4 linked regions of the Cricetulus griseus genome follow. The protein of the gene in region 1 purifies or fractionates together with the protein of each later gene. This does not show direct contact. Links are inferred from orthologs where the notes say so. Each region holds a gene or a part of one and is shown in the gene's direction. Other genes may lie near its edges.

Evidence for each region.
Region 2: the proteins of CUNH17orf49 (region 1) and Smarca5 purify together in Homo sapiens (affinity purification with mass spectrometry; 5 studies listed by BioGRID and IntAct, with this or other methods). This does not show direct contact. The link is inferred for Cricetulus griseus from reciprocal best matches to the Homo sapiens genes BACC1 and SMARCA5.
Region 3: the proteins of CUNH17orf49 (region 1) and Bptf purify together in Homo sapiens (affinity purification with mass spectrometry; 5 studies listed by BioGRID and IntAct, with this or other methods). This does not show direct contact. The link is inferred for Cricetulus griseus from reciprocal best matches to the Homo sapiens genes BACC1 and BPTF.
Region 4: the proteins of CUNH17orf49 (region 1) and Smarca1 purify together in Homo sapiens (affinity purification with mass spectrometry; 4 studies listed by BioGRID and IntAct, with this or other methods). This does not show direct contact. The link is inferred for Cricetulus griseus from reciprocal best matches to the Homo sapiens genes BACC1 and SMARCA1.

The regions. Positions count from the first base shown.
Region 1 is NC_048600.1:84,059,910-84,064,516, reverse strand, and holds CUNH17orf49 (chromatin complexes subunit BAP18), read left to right. Parts: upstream 1-1,700; 5' UTR 1,701-1,811; coding exon 1,812-1,832; exon of another isoform or gene 1,833-1,990; coding exon 1,991-2,085; exon of another isoform or gene 2,086-2,620; coding exon 2,621-2,722; exon of another isoform or gene 2,723-2,858; intron 2,859-3,381; coding exon 3,382-3,569; coding exon of another isoform or gene 3,570-3,595; exon of another isoform or gene 3,596-3,596; intron 3,597-3,782; coding exon 3,783-3,887; intron 3,888-3,938; exon of another isoform or gene 3,939-4,116; coding exon 4,117-4,181; 3' UTR 4,182-4,379; downstream 4,380-4,607. UniProt on the Homo sapiens protein: Component of chromatin complexes such as the MLL1/MLL and NURF complexes.
Region 2 is NC_048596.1:156,477,142-156,480,541, reverse strand, and holds the end of Smarca5 (SWI/SNF-related matrix-associated actin-dependent regulator of chromatin subfamily A member 5), read left to right. Parts: intron 1-1,505; coding exon 1,506-1,613; intron 1,614-2,441; coding exon 2,442-2,507; 3' UTR 2,508-2,753; downstream 2,754-3,400. UniProt on the Homo sapiens protein: ATPase that possesses intrinsic ATP-dependent nucleosome-remodeling activity.
Region 3 is NC_048600.1:119,996,796-120,000,602, reverse strand, and holds part of Bptf (nucleosome-remodeling factor subunit BPTF), read left to right. Parts: intron 1-2,038; coding exon 2,039-2,258; intron 2,259-2,711; coding exon 2,712-3,568; intron 3,569-3,807. UniProt on the Homo sapiens protein: Regulatory subunit of the ATP-dependent NURF-1 and NURF-5 ISWI chromatin remodeling complexes, which form ordered nucleosome arrays on chromatin and facilitate access to DNA during DNA-templated processes such as DNA replication, transcription, and repair.
Region 4 is NC_048604.1:21,560,591-21,564,397, forward strand, and holds part of Smarca1 (probable global transcription activator SNF2L1), read left to right. Parts: intron 1-2,130; coding exon 2,131-2,232; intron 2,233-3,807.

The DNA.
Region 1 (4,607 bases):
TAGATCGCAAAATTGGGAACTAGAGCGAAAGGGTGATGAAGCAGGACCCTGGGGATGGGAGCCAACGCCGGTAAATTTGTCGACCCCTCAAGGTAAACGAGAGCTAGGTCCCTGAGACAAGCTTGAGTGGAATGGAGGCGAGCAAGAAGGGTGCTTGCTCCCGAAAATGGTAGCTGAGGACTTGCTTCTCCAGGGTTCTACCGGCCCTCATTTTCAAAAAATGTGAAGTGTTGGGTTTCCCTCGTCTCTTCCGCCTAGTCCCATGATAATGACGCGCCTTGGAGAGCTGTTGACTGTACTTGCTTGTACCCAGCCACTCTTCCCAGTGTCCTACCTCACGACCTATTCAGATGGCTGAGTCCGAATCCAGCCACAACCACCCTGCTCCGAGCCCTAAGGAAGGGGCAGGTGTTGGGCCAACACTAGAAATGGGAGGAGCGTAGGGAGCGACCCAGGGAGAGGTAAGGTGCCAGAATTTGACAACCTACCTATTCCTTTGTTCTTCCAGATAATGCTCGGGATATTTTTCAATGTCCACTCTGCTGTGTTAATTGAGGACGTTCCCTTCACAGAGAAAGATTTTGAGTAAGTGCTTGGGTACTTAGGCGAATCTGGGTGCAAATGAGAAGTAGCAGGGTCTAGGCTCAGAATCATGTAGGGGACGCTGCTGAAGGCTGAACGTCTGTGGCCCTAGGTTGGGGGACTGCAAGAAGAGCTGCTCTCTATGAAGCAGTTCGGGTAGGAAAGAAGAAAAGATAAGAATGAAATAAATGAAACTAGAATGGAAAAAAAAAAAGAAAGCAGTTGGGTGGCAAACGCGTGCTTAAAACGCAAGGTCCTAGGTTCAATCTCCAGCGCTAAAAACGCGCTTAGGAACAGTCTTGCAAGCCAGACTTTCGTGGCCACCCCAAGCCCACCAGCTTAGACGAGGCCTCTTCCAATATTTTGCCTTCCCGCGCCTTAGTCTACCTCCACAAAAAAAAAAAAAAAAAAAAAAAAGATCGCATGATAGAAGTCCTGCCGTACGGTTGTCAGGAAGCCGAATAGAAATCAAAGCGTTTAGTGTGGTGTCTGGTGCAAGGTACGTTGGATGCTCTGAGCGACTGACATTTCCCTGCCTTCTCGCCACCCTCCAGGAACGGCCCTCAGAGCATATACAACCTGTACGAGCAAGTCAGCTACAACTGTTTCATCGCCGCCGGCCTCTACCTCCTTCTCGGAGGCTTCTCCTTCTGCCAAGTTCGGCTCAATAAGCGAAAGGAATACATGGTGCGCTGAGCGCAGCCCGGTGCTCTCCCTCCCCGCCCCGCCCCTCTATTTAAAGACTCCTCAGCCCCAGTCTGTCCCACCCATCTGGCGTCCTCTGGGACCGAGTCACCCTGGCGAGACCGCATCCCTGGCCCTGCAAATTCTGCTGTCCAGCCCCTGGAGGGGACCGGGGCTGACCCCGCCCCGCCCCGCCCTGCCCTACAATAAAAAGAAGCGGTTCCCCTAAGCTTGGTGTCTGTGTTTTCAGGGAGAGGGCGGGCCTGGGCTAGCAAGACTGAGCGTAGCCTCAAGGAGCAGTCCCGACCCTCCGACGGAAGTGGAATGAAGCCAGCCGGAAGTGAGGCGACGTCTTCCATCTCGTCTTCCTCCGCATGGCGAGGCGACCTGAGTGACGGGGGAGAGGTTGCGTTTCGGCCAATCGGCCGCAAGGAGGGCGGGACTTCCTGCGCGGGAGTCCGAGCGGCCGGCCGCCCGGCTCTCCGTGGTTTCCAGCTCGCGTGGTGGTAGCGGCGGAGCGTCTCCGTGAGGAGGTGCGCGGGGCCATGACGTCAGCGTCCACCAAGGTTCGACCTCCCTCGCGGACTGCGCTCCCTGGCGGCCACGGGAGGGTGGGCCCCCTGCCTGGTTCCCGGCTGGTGCGCGCTGGGCGGGGGGCGGGCGGATCCGAGGCTGGGGTGGGACGGCGCGCTGCCGGCCTCCCGTAATGCTGCTCCGCCCCCAGGTTGGAGAGATCTTCTCTGCGGCCGGCGCCGCCTTCACGAAGCTCGGGGAGCTGACTATGCAGCTGCATCCAGTATCGGACTCTTCCCCTGCCGGGTACGTGAGACCAGCCTAGGACCTGGAAGCCGGGAGCAGGCGCTTGGATTCAGTCACCGACACGACCCTCTCTAGAGCAGGGAGATACATTAATTCCTCTGTGCCTGGCCCAGCGTAGTGTAGTTGTTAATCATGGTTGAACTAGTGAATGACAGGTGAAGAGGCTACCAGGTCCACAATCCCCCGCTGCAAACCGACATACTGTCTCCCACCCACCCCAACTCAGACTGCTGCTACACATCCTTGAAGGGTTCTGTTTGAAAGGCCCCTACTTGTTGCATTGGTTTCCGTGGGTTGTTTATAGCAGCTGTTACATGATGAAGAGAGATGTTTTCAAGTGGCTCTGGATGCAATTTCATGTGGCTAGCGGTTTGTCCCCAGGGCCTTTCTTAAGGAGATCCTCTCTCCGAATCTTTGAAAGGTGCCCTAGAGACTAGAGGGAAGAGGCTGCTTGACTGTGGACGGAATAGCCTGTGGGCTGGCCCCACACACTCCTCCTTCCATTTTTGCTATCACCCTTCTCCCCTTCCGACAGTGCCAAGTGGACGGAGACGGAGATAGAGATGCTGAGGGCTGCTGTGAAGCGATTTGGGGACGATCTTAATCACATCAGCTGTGTCATCAAGGAACGGACAGTGTGAGGGAGGGTGGCTGGCAGAGAAAGGGGAGGGGTGGGCAACTTTCTTCTCCTTACCCATTGTTCTTCCTCAGAATCCCCTCAGCTCAGCATCATTCCTACTTTGTTGCTAGTTGTGTTAGCATTTCCTTGAAGGCTGAAAGAATATAATAACTGTGGCAGTTGGTCGGAAGTTCAGGAAATGCGATGGTAATTAGGACCTTCAGAGAATTTTATTTTCAGGTGCCCAGTTACTCAATGGGTGTGCTTGATGATGAGGGTTCCATAGCTATCTATATAAATCCTTTGAGACTAGCATTTCTGGGGATGCATTCTGAACTAGTTAGCTGCCAGCATCTGTGAAAAAGTCTCAGTTTGCCTTTATATCACCAATACATACCTGGTGGCCTTACACATCCAGACATCTCTCCTAAGGTTCATGAAAAGGACCTTTCTGGTTGCTCTGTTCAGGGGCTCCAGTCTCCATAACCCATCAGCCCTAAGTGGGTACAAAGCTGCTAAGGGTAGGGGAATCCTTATTTCACATGGATTAGGGCCTTGATCTGGATATTTGTGAAGGAACTAGGAGTCCTTCAGAGTGGCCCATTATTCCCCCCCCTTCCCTCTTCCCTCAGCTTCTCTGGTGACAATCTCCCTAATCTGCTTTCTCTTATCTTCAGGGCTCAGATAAAGACCACTGTAAAGCGAAAAGTATATGAAGACTCTGGCGTCCCTCTTCCAACTGAGTCACCTAAGAAAGGGCCCAAGAAGATGACATCTGGGGTCCTCTCCCCTCCAACTGCCCCTCCACCCAGCAGCTCCAGTGTCCCTGAAGCTGGGGGTCCTCCCCTAAAGAAACAGAAGGCTGGTGAGGGCTGTGGAGTTGCTGCCTAGGGTAGGGGTTAAAGGTCCTATCTGAGATTGAATGAGAGAATTGGGCCTGGGTCAAAGGACAGATGATTTGTGTGCTCAGGTGTCATTCCAAAACGGGCAGAGGGCTGTGTAGAGCATGAAGCTTTGGGAAACTGGGACGAGGGAGAGTAGTCAGGAAACCTAGAACCTAGCCTATGCCCCCTCCCAGATGTGACACTCAGTGCTCTGAACGACTCCGACGCCAACAGTGACCTGGTGGATGTTGAAGGGCTAGGAGAAACTCCTCCAGCCAAGAAACTCAACTTTGACCAGGGTAGGAGTCCTCCTCCTCCCACACTGGCTGGGGTGGGGAAGAAATACTCACCTGGATGGTAGGGGAGGGTCCCAGCAGAAGCCCCTTTGTCGTGCAAGGGCTTCAGACAGAAGATACTCAGTGCAGGGGGTTGGGTCAGCTAGTAATACGATGTTTGAGGAGGTGAGGGTTTTCTTGGAAACATATTCCTTGCTTGGTCCATCTCGGTCCATTTTACTTCCTGTTCCAGACAGCCTGACCCTGGACTCTGGCCTTCTCTCGACCTCTGCTGATGCTCCTCTACTCTCCTGCTGAGCCTTCCACCTCTGACCCTCACTGTTCACCGTGGACCTGTGGATCACCTGGGACTCTAAGCAAGGACTGCATGAGAGAGGGTCAGAAAGCCACTGGAGCTGTCCATCTTGTTCCCGATAAACATGTGCCCGCACCCTCTGACCTCCGTCTGATGGACATTTTTATACAGAAAATTATAATAAAGAAATTCTCTTAGCATGGTGCTGCCAGCTGCTGTTCCCTCTCCTTTCCTTAGCCCTCGGGGGCCAGCCCCTCTCAGTAGCTCTCACCACCCTGCCTGGAGCAACACAGCCAATATTGGCAGACTCGCTTCCCAGTGCCAATATTTCTGTGCTGCTAGAGCCAGGAGAGCTGGGTGTGGGCAACAAAGACTCTACTTTGCTCTGTGGGGCAGAACTTATTCCCGGGGTTTCTGACAAAGACCAC
Region 2 (3,400 bases), on another chromosome or scaffold:
ATATAGGCTTTTGTGATGAATAGTTGAGGCATAATCTTGCCCAGGAGTTTAAAGGATTCAGTGTGCATCAGTGTGTGCTGTAGTGCACCTATCAAAAACTGTGTGCAGCAAGCAGAGTGGTCGATGTGCTGCATGGTACTTACTGTTTAAAGGAAACACAACTTTGTTATTGCCTTCTACCTCTGTTGTTGGAAGTAATACTAAGCCATGGATGGAGTTCCTACCAAGTAGTTTAGAAGTATTATTATTACTTTGTTTTTCAATACAGGGTTTCTTTGTCTAGCCTTAGCTGTCCTGGTAGACCAGGCTGGCCTGGAACTCAAAGAGATCCATCCACCTGCCTCTGCCTCCTGAGTGCTGGGATTAAAGGCATGCCAGCACCATCTGACATTCAGAATTATTTGTACTGTGGTTGTCTGTGTAGAAGTTTTACTTACATATAAGAGACTAAACAAACAAACAAACCATGTTTGTTCTGTAAGGAAATGAGCTGCTAGCAAACAGTGATGCAAATGGATTTTACCTCACTGAGTAGTACATAGATTGGTAGAGAAAGGAGGTAGACAAAACTCATTATGAACTTCATAGCTGTGTGTGTATCACTGCTATCAACTAAGATGCTAATGCTTTTAAAGAAAAGACTGATTTTCGTCTCTTAAGTTCTAGGTACTTTTGTTTTTGAATTCTGTATGTTAACCTTTAAATATAAGTAGTCCAGAGTTCCTGAGCTTTGAGTAGTTTTTGTATATGTTGATGTTCATTGTCACTGTGTTAGTACCTAAATGATCAATAGATTAATGGTGTGTGGAGAGTATACATTAGTATGGAGCTTTACTATTTACCTGTCTATTGGCAGATACACTGAGCTACATCCCCAGCCATATGTTAGTGCAGCTTTAAAGAATCAAGTATAAACACTAAATATTTGCTCTTTGTATCCTCATAGCATGGTCTGTGAGTAAAAAATAATTTCGTTTTGCTTGTTTTTATTAGTCTATTAGAATATATGGGTGTTTTTTTTTTTTTTGTTTTGTTTTTTTTTTTTTTTTTTTGGTTTTTCGAGACAGGGTTTCTCTGTAGCTTTGGAACCTATCCTGGCACTCGCCCTGGAGACCAGGGTGGCCTCGAACTCACAGAGATCCACCTGCCTCTGCCTCCCTAGTACTGGGATTAAAGGCATGTGCCACCAATGCCCGGTCCTGTATGGGTGATTTTTATATTTGTTAAAACATCTCTATTTAGACATTGAAGTCCTGACAATATGTAGTTTGGGGGCTGGAGAGATGGCTCAGAGGTTAAGAGCACTGGCTGCTCTTCCAGAGGTCCTGAGTTCAATTCCCAGCTCCCAGCAACCACATGGTGGCTCACAAACATCTGTAATGAGACCTGGTGCCCTCTTCTGGTGTGCAGATATACATGGAAGCAGAATGTTATATACATAATAAAATCTTTTTAAAAAAATGTAGTTTGAAATAACAAATTTACTGTGTATGTTTACAATTTAGGAGCTCCAGAGGAGGTGCAATACCTTAATTACTTTGATTGAAAGAGAAAATATGGAACTAGAAGAAAAGGAGAAGGCAGAGAAAAAGAAAAGAGGACCAAAGCCTTCAGTAAGTATTCATGAAAATATAAAACATAGATTGTGTGAATGATGCAGGTAGGTAGGTAGGTGTGTGTGTGTGTGTGTGTGTGTTATGCAAATATGTGTGTGTGTGGTAGTAGTTTGTGAGGCAGAGGTTGACAATCACGTGCCACCTTATTCTTTGAGACAAGATGGAGCTTGCCATCTTGGTTAGACTATCTGTTCTATGCTCCTCAGCCCCCAGCCCCCATACCCTCATCTGATGGGGTTGTCTGGGTTTCACTGGGGTTTGTGGCTAAGAACTCAGGTCCACATGCTTTCATAACAAGCAGTTTACCCACTAGCCATCTCTCCAGAAAACCCACCACTACTACCCTGTGAAGTATTTGAGCACTGTCAGCACTTCTTGTGTTAGGTTTGTCTTTTTTCTTTGTGAGTAATAAATACATTGAGTCACCTGGAAATAGAAACTGAATTTGATGCACTACATATGGAAAAACATGTTTTCTGATTGCCAAGAGTACACCTTCTCCTTAGTTTAGGAGACTGAGGAATATTAGGAAAACAAAAGCTTTACAAGTGCAATGGTTGTCTTCTGAGCTTTGATTCACTGTCTTAGTAATGTGTTCACAATTTGAATGTATTCAGGAGGAAGCAGGTATCTTGTTACTAATAATGGTAAAATATTTGGAGATTTGATAGTGGTTTGAAAGATTGGTTGTGGAGCCCTGAAGAAAAGTCGTGTACTGTCGGGTCATGTTTGTTACACTAATGTGCTGCAACATGTATGGAAATGTATTTAATGTCCATATTAGTTGAATCTTGTCATGAGAACTAATTGTTGTGTTTGTTATAGACACAGAAACGTAAAATGGATGGTGCCCCTGATGGTCGAGGAAGAAAGAAGAAGCTGAAACTATGAACGTATATTGGTCTTATAATCACTAAGCTAGTAGTTCTTTAATTTACGGGTCTTCATAAGATGTGCTGTACAGTGCTCAACTGTTATGTCATTCAAAGACATCAGCTCCATCTGCTTACTGAGCTAGAAACATAGGATGTAGTTTCACTTTTTTAAATGCAACAGCTGTGCTGAAATTTTTTTATCATTAACACTTGAAGTAATAAAACAGGCTTCATTTATTAATAAATGTTTCATTTGATTTATTTTTCTATTAGTTTCATTTGTGAAGATTGTGGCTTTTTATTGGCTACGACATTAGCTCTTGTATGGCTTTAAAACAAGCAAACAAGTAAAAAAAAAAAATACAAAGACCATTTGTCCCTTCAAGTCTCCACTTACTTTTGTAATAATTTTACTTCACATTCTCTGCCTTTGATTTCTTCTTCTTCTTTTTTTTCCTGTAGTACTATTGAGTCTCATCTAGAAAGTTTGTGTAAATTTCATTCTTGCTGGTTATAGAATGGGGAAAGGCAAAACAAGTTATAATGATGTCTATGCATATTCTGTTACACTTTGCGTTCCTAGGGCTCTGAAGTGAATGTGCTCTGTTCGTTGGATGAGTGACCTTTTTAGTAGTATAGCCAAAGACAGTATTTTCTGGTTCTTGAAGGTGTTGTATTTTGTAGCAGGATTTTTTTCTTTTAAAGTATTTGGTTAATATTTTGATAAACGGCCTGTAGCAGCCACAACTTAGAAAGATAATGTCAGAAGTAAGGTGATTTTTTTTTTTCTTTTAAATTTGAATGACCCAGCCATAATGAGGTGTGACTCTTGTCATATTGTTACAATACTAATAGAATGTACCCTCTCAGTTTATAGTATTTTTGAGTTTTTAGAGTAAATGAAAATTT
Region 3 (3,807 bases), about 36 Mb from region 1:
GCTGGAAATGTATATGGCTCAGTGGTGGAGAATTTGCCTGGCATGTGCAAGGTCATATGTTCAGTTCTCAGCGTGACGCACATGTACACAGGAAGGAAGAAGGAAGAAGCTGTTAGGAAACTGATGAAGAAGGAAGAACTTCCCACTAGACCTTGAGGGCAATGTGTGTTATAACCGTCTACCTAACAGACTGGTTAAATTGAATTTTCATTAAGAGCAAGAATTAAATGGGGATCAGAGTAAAGGCTCATGCACATCCAGCAAGAGTGTAACCACCTTAGTTAAGCCTTTCCTAGCAACCTTGCTGCAGTGTGTGGTGAGGGCGTGCATGCTTGAGGGGTTGGAAAGTGTTCTGTTCCTACTAGTGCCAGTGTGCACTGGTACAAATGCCTACAACAGTACAGGTCATAAGAATTGGTATTTTGGAGCAACCAGATGTCTGTGTGGTGAGGTAACGGTCGGGTTTGGTGATTCCTACAGAATGGAAATGTGGTAACTGCAGCTCTAGAGAAGGGGCTCACAAATAAAGTGTTGGGGTCGGGTATAGCACGAGATCTAGTAGGTCTTAATAATAAAAGCCCAGAGTCACATATGGGCAGAAATGCTGAGAGATCAGAGAGCCGAAGGAGAAAAACCATAGCCACCTTACCTATTCAGCTTCTCAGCTGAAAAGAGACTGAGTTCCTGGCTGCTCCCACCTTATCACTTCCTGTCTCCAACCAGCCTATCACTTCTTGAATGTCTGTATAGAACTCTAGACCTCTATGGTTAACTAGTGGCTAGCTCTGCCCTCTGATCTTCAAGTAAGCTTTATTTGTTAGAATATAAACAAGACATCACTACATTTCCCCATTTTTGTCTAAAATAAAAGGTTGTATCTACTAAAAGAAAAACTATACAGTAAGTACAGTAACTATATACAATAAGTAACAGGCAATGAATACATGAACAATGGCTAGTCTATTAATAATTGACAAATTCAGAGAAATTACTCCATGTCTATCCTTTTTGGTGAGTCCAAAAGGTTGTACCTCATTCACTTTCTATTCTAACTTGCATTACCTATCTCTCAACTATATACACTTTACCTTTCTTTAGTGAATTTCTTTCCTGAATCTGGTAATAGGGAAAATTAGAACTATAAATTCTTCAACTCCATCAGAGACCTGGGAAGGAAATAATATTACCTGAGTAAGCAGGAAGTGCAAGCAAGCAACTTCCAAAAAATGACAGAAATGACAGACACATCTGGCTTCCTGGACAGTCACCCAAGGTTCCTCTACAATGTTGGGGCATCCATCCTTGGCCTACTGGCCTAGCATCTCTGACACACTTATCTGTGAAGCAGGATATTCTGAAGGGCTGTCCTACCTTGTCTTGGTAAAGTCCAGCAGTCCTTTCTTTTATGTCCTGCTTGTCCCATCTGGACAGTGTGCTGTCAGCAGTCAAGGCAAGAGCACTTTCTTTCCCCGTGCTCTTAAGTGCTGAGCCAACATGAATAAAGGTGGGTTAAAGTAAGAATCGGGTGTGATGATGAGTGAAGTCACAGTGAGTTCTGAGTTCTCATGGGGTACTGGAAGGACCCAGACTCTCAAAGTTTAATTCATTAGTTAATTGGTTGATTGAAATAAGAATTTTGATCTGACCATGATAGCTCTAATCTATGCTACCAGAATGTAAGAAGTGATGTTTTCTTCCTTGGTTTCTGGCAGAGTGGGGTATTTTTAAGACAGTCTCACTCATTGCAGGAATCCATAACTGCTCAGGACCTCATTTTACTGATTAATTAAATGGGATCTGGATCAGGTGTGATGTTTGTAACCGGGTGGCTGGCTGCCCATTGGAGAGTTTGGACTGGAACTTTGAGGTGTTGGTATCTTTCCACTGTGCCACACAAGTCCCCTGTCTGTAATTCACCTGAGTTTTCCTGATACCATTGCAGGGAAGGATCTTCATAACGTAAATGGTTCCGTTAGAACCCTTTACAGATTTGTAACCTAAATGCCGTATATTTTATGTTGTCTGCTTTTTTCCACAGGGCGGCAACCAAGGTTTAACAGTAGTAATTCAAGGACAAGGTCAAACTACTGGACAGTTGCAGTTGATACCTCAGGGGATGACCGTCCTTCCAGGGCCAGGGCAACAGCTCATGCAAGCTGCGATGCCCAATGGTACTGTCCAGCGGTTCCTCTTTACCCCACTGTCAACGACGGCCACAACCAGCAGCAGCAGCCCCGCCACTGCTTCTACAGCAGCAGGTAGAAACACTGTCTTGCCACTCGTTGCTGGCCTCTCGAGTAGCAGGGCCCAATGTTCCACCTCCAGCCTGCTTAACAGCTGAACTGCTGACACAGCCAGCCTCTGTGTTTCCATGCCTTGTTCCTAGACTCCCTGTACCCCCCTTTCCTGATTAAAACAAAACAAAATCCTGGTGAAGCCCTGGAGGTGAGCTTAAGGAGGGTGAGTCCACACAGCTCATAACCAGCCTCCTGTAAGCCATCAGTGCCTGTTGCCATGCCATAGCCGAAGCGTGAAGCTTGAGTGCCTCAGAACACCTAGGTGACATACAGGAAGCATGCAGGAAGCATCCCAGCTCCCCAGCCTAGGAGATGGCTACTCTGAGTCCTCCTCGAACCCGAGGCTTCAGGAAATACCCTCATAGTCTTGCATACTAAAGCCAGGGAAATCACTTTGTCTTTTTTTCTTTACAGGTTCGGGGGAACAAAAACAGAGTAAATCGTCACCTCAGACCCAGGTCCAACCAGCCACTACCCTGGCGCCAGCTCAGTCATCAAGTGTGAGTCCTGCAGAAGCCCAGCCACAGACTCCTCAGCCTGCAGCACAGCCCCAGCCCCAGTCCCCAGCTCAGCCTGAAGTCTCGTCCCAAACCCCTTCTGAAGCACAGCCCTCCCAGACACAGTCATCTAAACCCCAGCAACAGTGTCAGCCTCAGAGCAATGTCCAAGGACAGTCTCCTGTTCGTGCCCAGAGCCCATCATTGACTCGAATACGTCCATCAACTCCATCCCAAGTGACTCCTGGACAGCAACCCCAGGTTCAGACTACAAGCTCACAGCCGATTCCAATCCCGCCCCCCACATCTCTGCAGACACCTTCCCAAGGCCAGCCACAGTCACAGCCCCAGGTACAGTCTTCAACTCAAACTCTTTCTCCAGGACAAACATTAAGTCAAGTTACTGTCTCATCCCCATGCTGTCCTCAGCTACAAACACAGCAGCTGCAGCCCCAAGTCATTGCTGTGCCTGAGCTCCAGCAAGTCCAGGTTCTCTCTCAGATCCAGTCACAGGTTGTGGCTCAGATACAGGCTCAGCAAGGTGGTGTGCCCCAGCAAATCAAACTTCAGTTACCCATTCAAGTTCAGCAAAGCAGTGCTGTGCAGACTCAGCATGTTCAGAGTGTGGTCACAGTGCAGGCAGCCAGTTTGCAAGAGCAGTTGCAGAGGGTTCAGCATCTCAGGGAGCAGCAGCAAAAGAAGAAGCAGCAGATAGAGATTGAGCGTGAACACACCCTCCAAGCTTCTGCCCAGAGGGAAGTCATTCAGAAACAGGTAACGACATTAAGTCAAAGCAGCATGTTGGGTAGTGTGAATTACTGTGCTGTGTGGTACACTTAGTGCTTTGGTTGTGGTAGGCTTCCTGACTGAGACATGGTCACTGGTGGATAGCCTCAGAAGACCAGAACACTGCTTGCCCATTTTGGTTTGGGACTCCTTAATGGGCATGTAGCCTTTCCCTGGTAGGAAACCAAGTGGTGAGGCCACCATCAAAATGGAGTGATTCAGTTGAA
Region 4 (3,807 bases), on another chromosome or scaffold:
AATTTATCTACCATACGCTACATAGGTATAACAAAGGCATATGATAATTTAAATCATCTGTCAAATACAAAAATAGCAGTGATGCTCAACCCCATGGATGAAAGATTTCAGTTATGGAGTTCTGCCATTTCTTCCTGGTGTCCTGGATACATCTTGTTTTAGTAGTCTTTACTATGTCATTTGGTATTGCTTCCATTCCCTTGGGTGTGCAAAGCTGGACTATCAAATGAGTTAGAATTGGGTAGAGCAGTTAGTGAACTGATTGTGACAGCTCACATGCTGCATTTTTTTTCTTGCCATCTGGTTCTTGAAAAATTAAAAAAAAATGTTGTGGATAGTAATGCCAATGAAGTGATTACCCATATCTCTTAATAGTATTGCTCAAGATGAGGGATTCAATTAACGCGTGATTAGACTTTTAAGCACATAATGAATAAAATGTTCTTCTGAGATGTTATCTTCTGAAAGTAAAGTTTATTTCCTACACACACACAACACACACACACACACACACACACACACACACACACATATATAACTTCATCATATATATTTCATCATATATATTTGATGAAGTAGTTGTTTTAAAACTTGGAAACTTCATCTCATTAGCCTTTTAAGGTAAAAGTTTGAATTTTTAAAAAGATTTATTTATTCATATATTTTATGTATTTTAATATCTAAGATTTTGTTGCTCTGAAAATGAGACTTACAGTATACGTGATTTTTTTGGTTGTTTTTGTTTTCTTGAAACAGGGTCTCTCTACATAGCTCTGGCTGTCCTGGAACTTCCTCTGTAGAGCAGGCTGGCCTCGAATTCACAGAGATCCCCTTGTCTCTGCTTCCTGAGTCTTGGGATTAAAGGCATACACCTTGACTCCTGGCATACATATGTGACATATTGAAAGTATGACCTTCAGTTTCCATTCCAACCCATCCAGAATTACATCAAAAACATCTCATATAGTTGATCGATACACATGAGATGCTGTAGATCAACATAGTTGTTATGTGACCAGGGCTCCAAATAGACTCTAACCAAGGTCATGTTCGAAAATCTTTCTTTGAATTTTCTAAAAATAAACCTTTAGGCAAATGTTGGAAGACAGTCATTAATTATTGGAGGCATTTTGTTTTCTTGTTTAATGTCACATTCTGGTGCTGAATTATTATAGGAGATTTCAAAGACAGGTTGACAAAAGCTGTAATAAAACTGACCTCATTTCTTTTGTTTTCACAAAAAAGATTTGTGCTTTAATTTCTGCAAAGTGTGTGTTCAAATTCAAATATTTTTGGTATCGATCTTAATGAATAGATTCTTTTGTTATTTTATCTCTTGATTTATTCCAGAGAAGGGTATTTATTCTATGTTTTCACATAAGATATTGACCCTGTATTGACAGATTATTGCTAATTGATGCTAGTGTTCACTAAATTACAGTTTTAAAAATACCAACAGTTAATAGTGAATAGCTCCAATGAATCACTTGTGTAAAAGGTTTTGTAACATGAATAAAATAGTTTTCTTTCTAGAGGAAATAAAGTGACCAGTTTGAAGCTGTATCATTGGATTATTTTAAGTGTATGAGATCATGTCGCACTGTATAAAAATGTACAAGCTTTAATTAGTCTAGGAAAACAAATTTCAAAAGTGTTGCTTCAGGAACAGAAGCCAGAGTCTTTTATTCTGAAAGTCTGGCTGGTTTCCAGTACATAAAGAAGTGTTTGGGAGGGTTATTATTTACATTTCTTGAATTCTTTGGTTTGTGGCTGAGCATTAGCCTGTTCAGGATTTCTAAGCCTGCTATTTTATGGTTACACATTTCTTCGGCTTTAATTAAAAAAAATAGACAAAAAGGCTTAGTGTTTTATTTTGGGTTTTATTCTAATGAATGCCATCTCTCTGATATTTCAGGTTTTTTTTTTTTAAATTGGACCTCAGGTGCACAGAACTGGATTAATCATAAGCCCTGCTTCATATCTCACTCTCATCATTGTTCCATTCATGGCCCTCAGTGATTTATTTATCAAGTTATTTAATTACTTTTGGCTTTCTTTAAGGGAGAACATTGACCAGCTTAAAGACCTTGCTTTGCAATTGACTGATATTTATTTCCTTTGACATTCTAGAAAAGCACTTCTCCATTGCAACTAAAACTTGCTGCTAAACCTTCCAAATCTGAAAAGGAAATGGACCCAGAATATGAAGAGAAAATGGTAAATATACCCTTGGTAAGGTAGTGACCATTGTGATTCTCTTTGTTTGTTTGTTCGTTCGTTTGTTTGTTTGTAGCCTGGTCTAGTTATATAATTCCAGGCAGAAATTCTTGAACTTGTGACTCTTCAGCTTTATTGTCCCAATTTATATGATTATTGGTTCCACTTTCCATGCCTTATAGTTAATTTTTATAGAGATATAGAAGATGAAAAAGATTTATCTATGACACATAATCAGATTTCATAGTACAAATGTAATTTAATATATTAAAGTGTCACAAGTGTGTGTATGTATGTATTAATATATGTGTGTGTATGTATCTGTGTGTGTGTGCTCGCATGCGTGCGTGCGTGCGTGCGTGCGTGCGTGCATGTGTGTAGGCCAGAAGTAGATGTCAGGTATCTTCCTCAATTACTGCCCACCTTATTTTTTGATCCTGGTCTTCTTAAATTTCAGTTTTTTCCCTATTCACTCTCCACTTATTTTTCCACTGGCATAATCAAGAGCCAAGAGCTCACAAATTTGGTGAGGCTGAATGGCCAGTGAGCTCTAGCGATTCACCCCCTCCTTCTTGTCAATGCTGGCAACATGGGTGTGTGTTGTTGTACCTAACTTTCTATGTGGGGGCTAGAGATCTGAACTCGGGATATTATATTGTTGTGACAAGCAATTTAACCACTGAGGCAACAATTCCTTTTTATTGAATAAATTAATCTCATTTTCAAAGGAGAAAATTAAGAACCACGGAAACTTTGTGGAATAGTTGAGATGAGAAGCCACATCTCACTTTTTCTCAGTGGTCTTTAACCAATACTGAGATGTTGCAAGGCAAAAACATTCTGTGGACTCAGTGATGAAGGTATCAGTGGCAGTAGTCGTGTGGCTTTGTACCTGTGGGGAATGCAGTCATGATGCCAGATCAGCGTTTCTCCTGACTTTGTATATAAAGGAATGCTATACATTAAGGAAATATGTAGTATGATAATATACCTTTTAAGCATATTAAGGCTTATTTACCTAATGCATGAATGTGTTACTTATTTAAGTCATGTAATCTTTGTCGAGCACCACATATTTCATTATTCTTTGTTTAATTTTCAGTCACCCAGAACTGGACAGGTAGTTGGAACTGATTTTTTTCCCCCCGAAGGAATGTTTTTCCAGTTTAAAAAAAAGTAGGAAGGCAATACATGTTCTAGTTGCTGATAGCTATTTTACAAGAAGAGTCTGTGTTTAAGACCACATCTAAGGAGACAGTTAATGTTTTAACAGTTCTAAAAACAACATTCCAGAGAGGATAACATGAAGTGGAAAAGTTTTGGCCTCCTTCCAGCTCGTCATCTGAATGTATTTTTTCAAAGTCTTGTATCTAAGCTAATGAACGTTCCCGCACGTTTCTGGTGTTGTTATTAATTTTTCACCATTAATCAATTATTCTCTGCCAAATGGTCAGAACGTGACTCTAAATAAAAAAAAAAACCAAGTTCATTTTTTCCTTTGTCTAAGATGAAGTGCAAGTCTTTTGATCTTTTAAAGTTTTGTAGTGAACATGTTTATTTTTTTATTTTTAATTTTTTTCCTATTTTTCT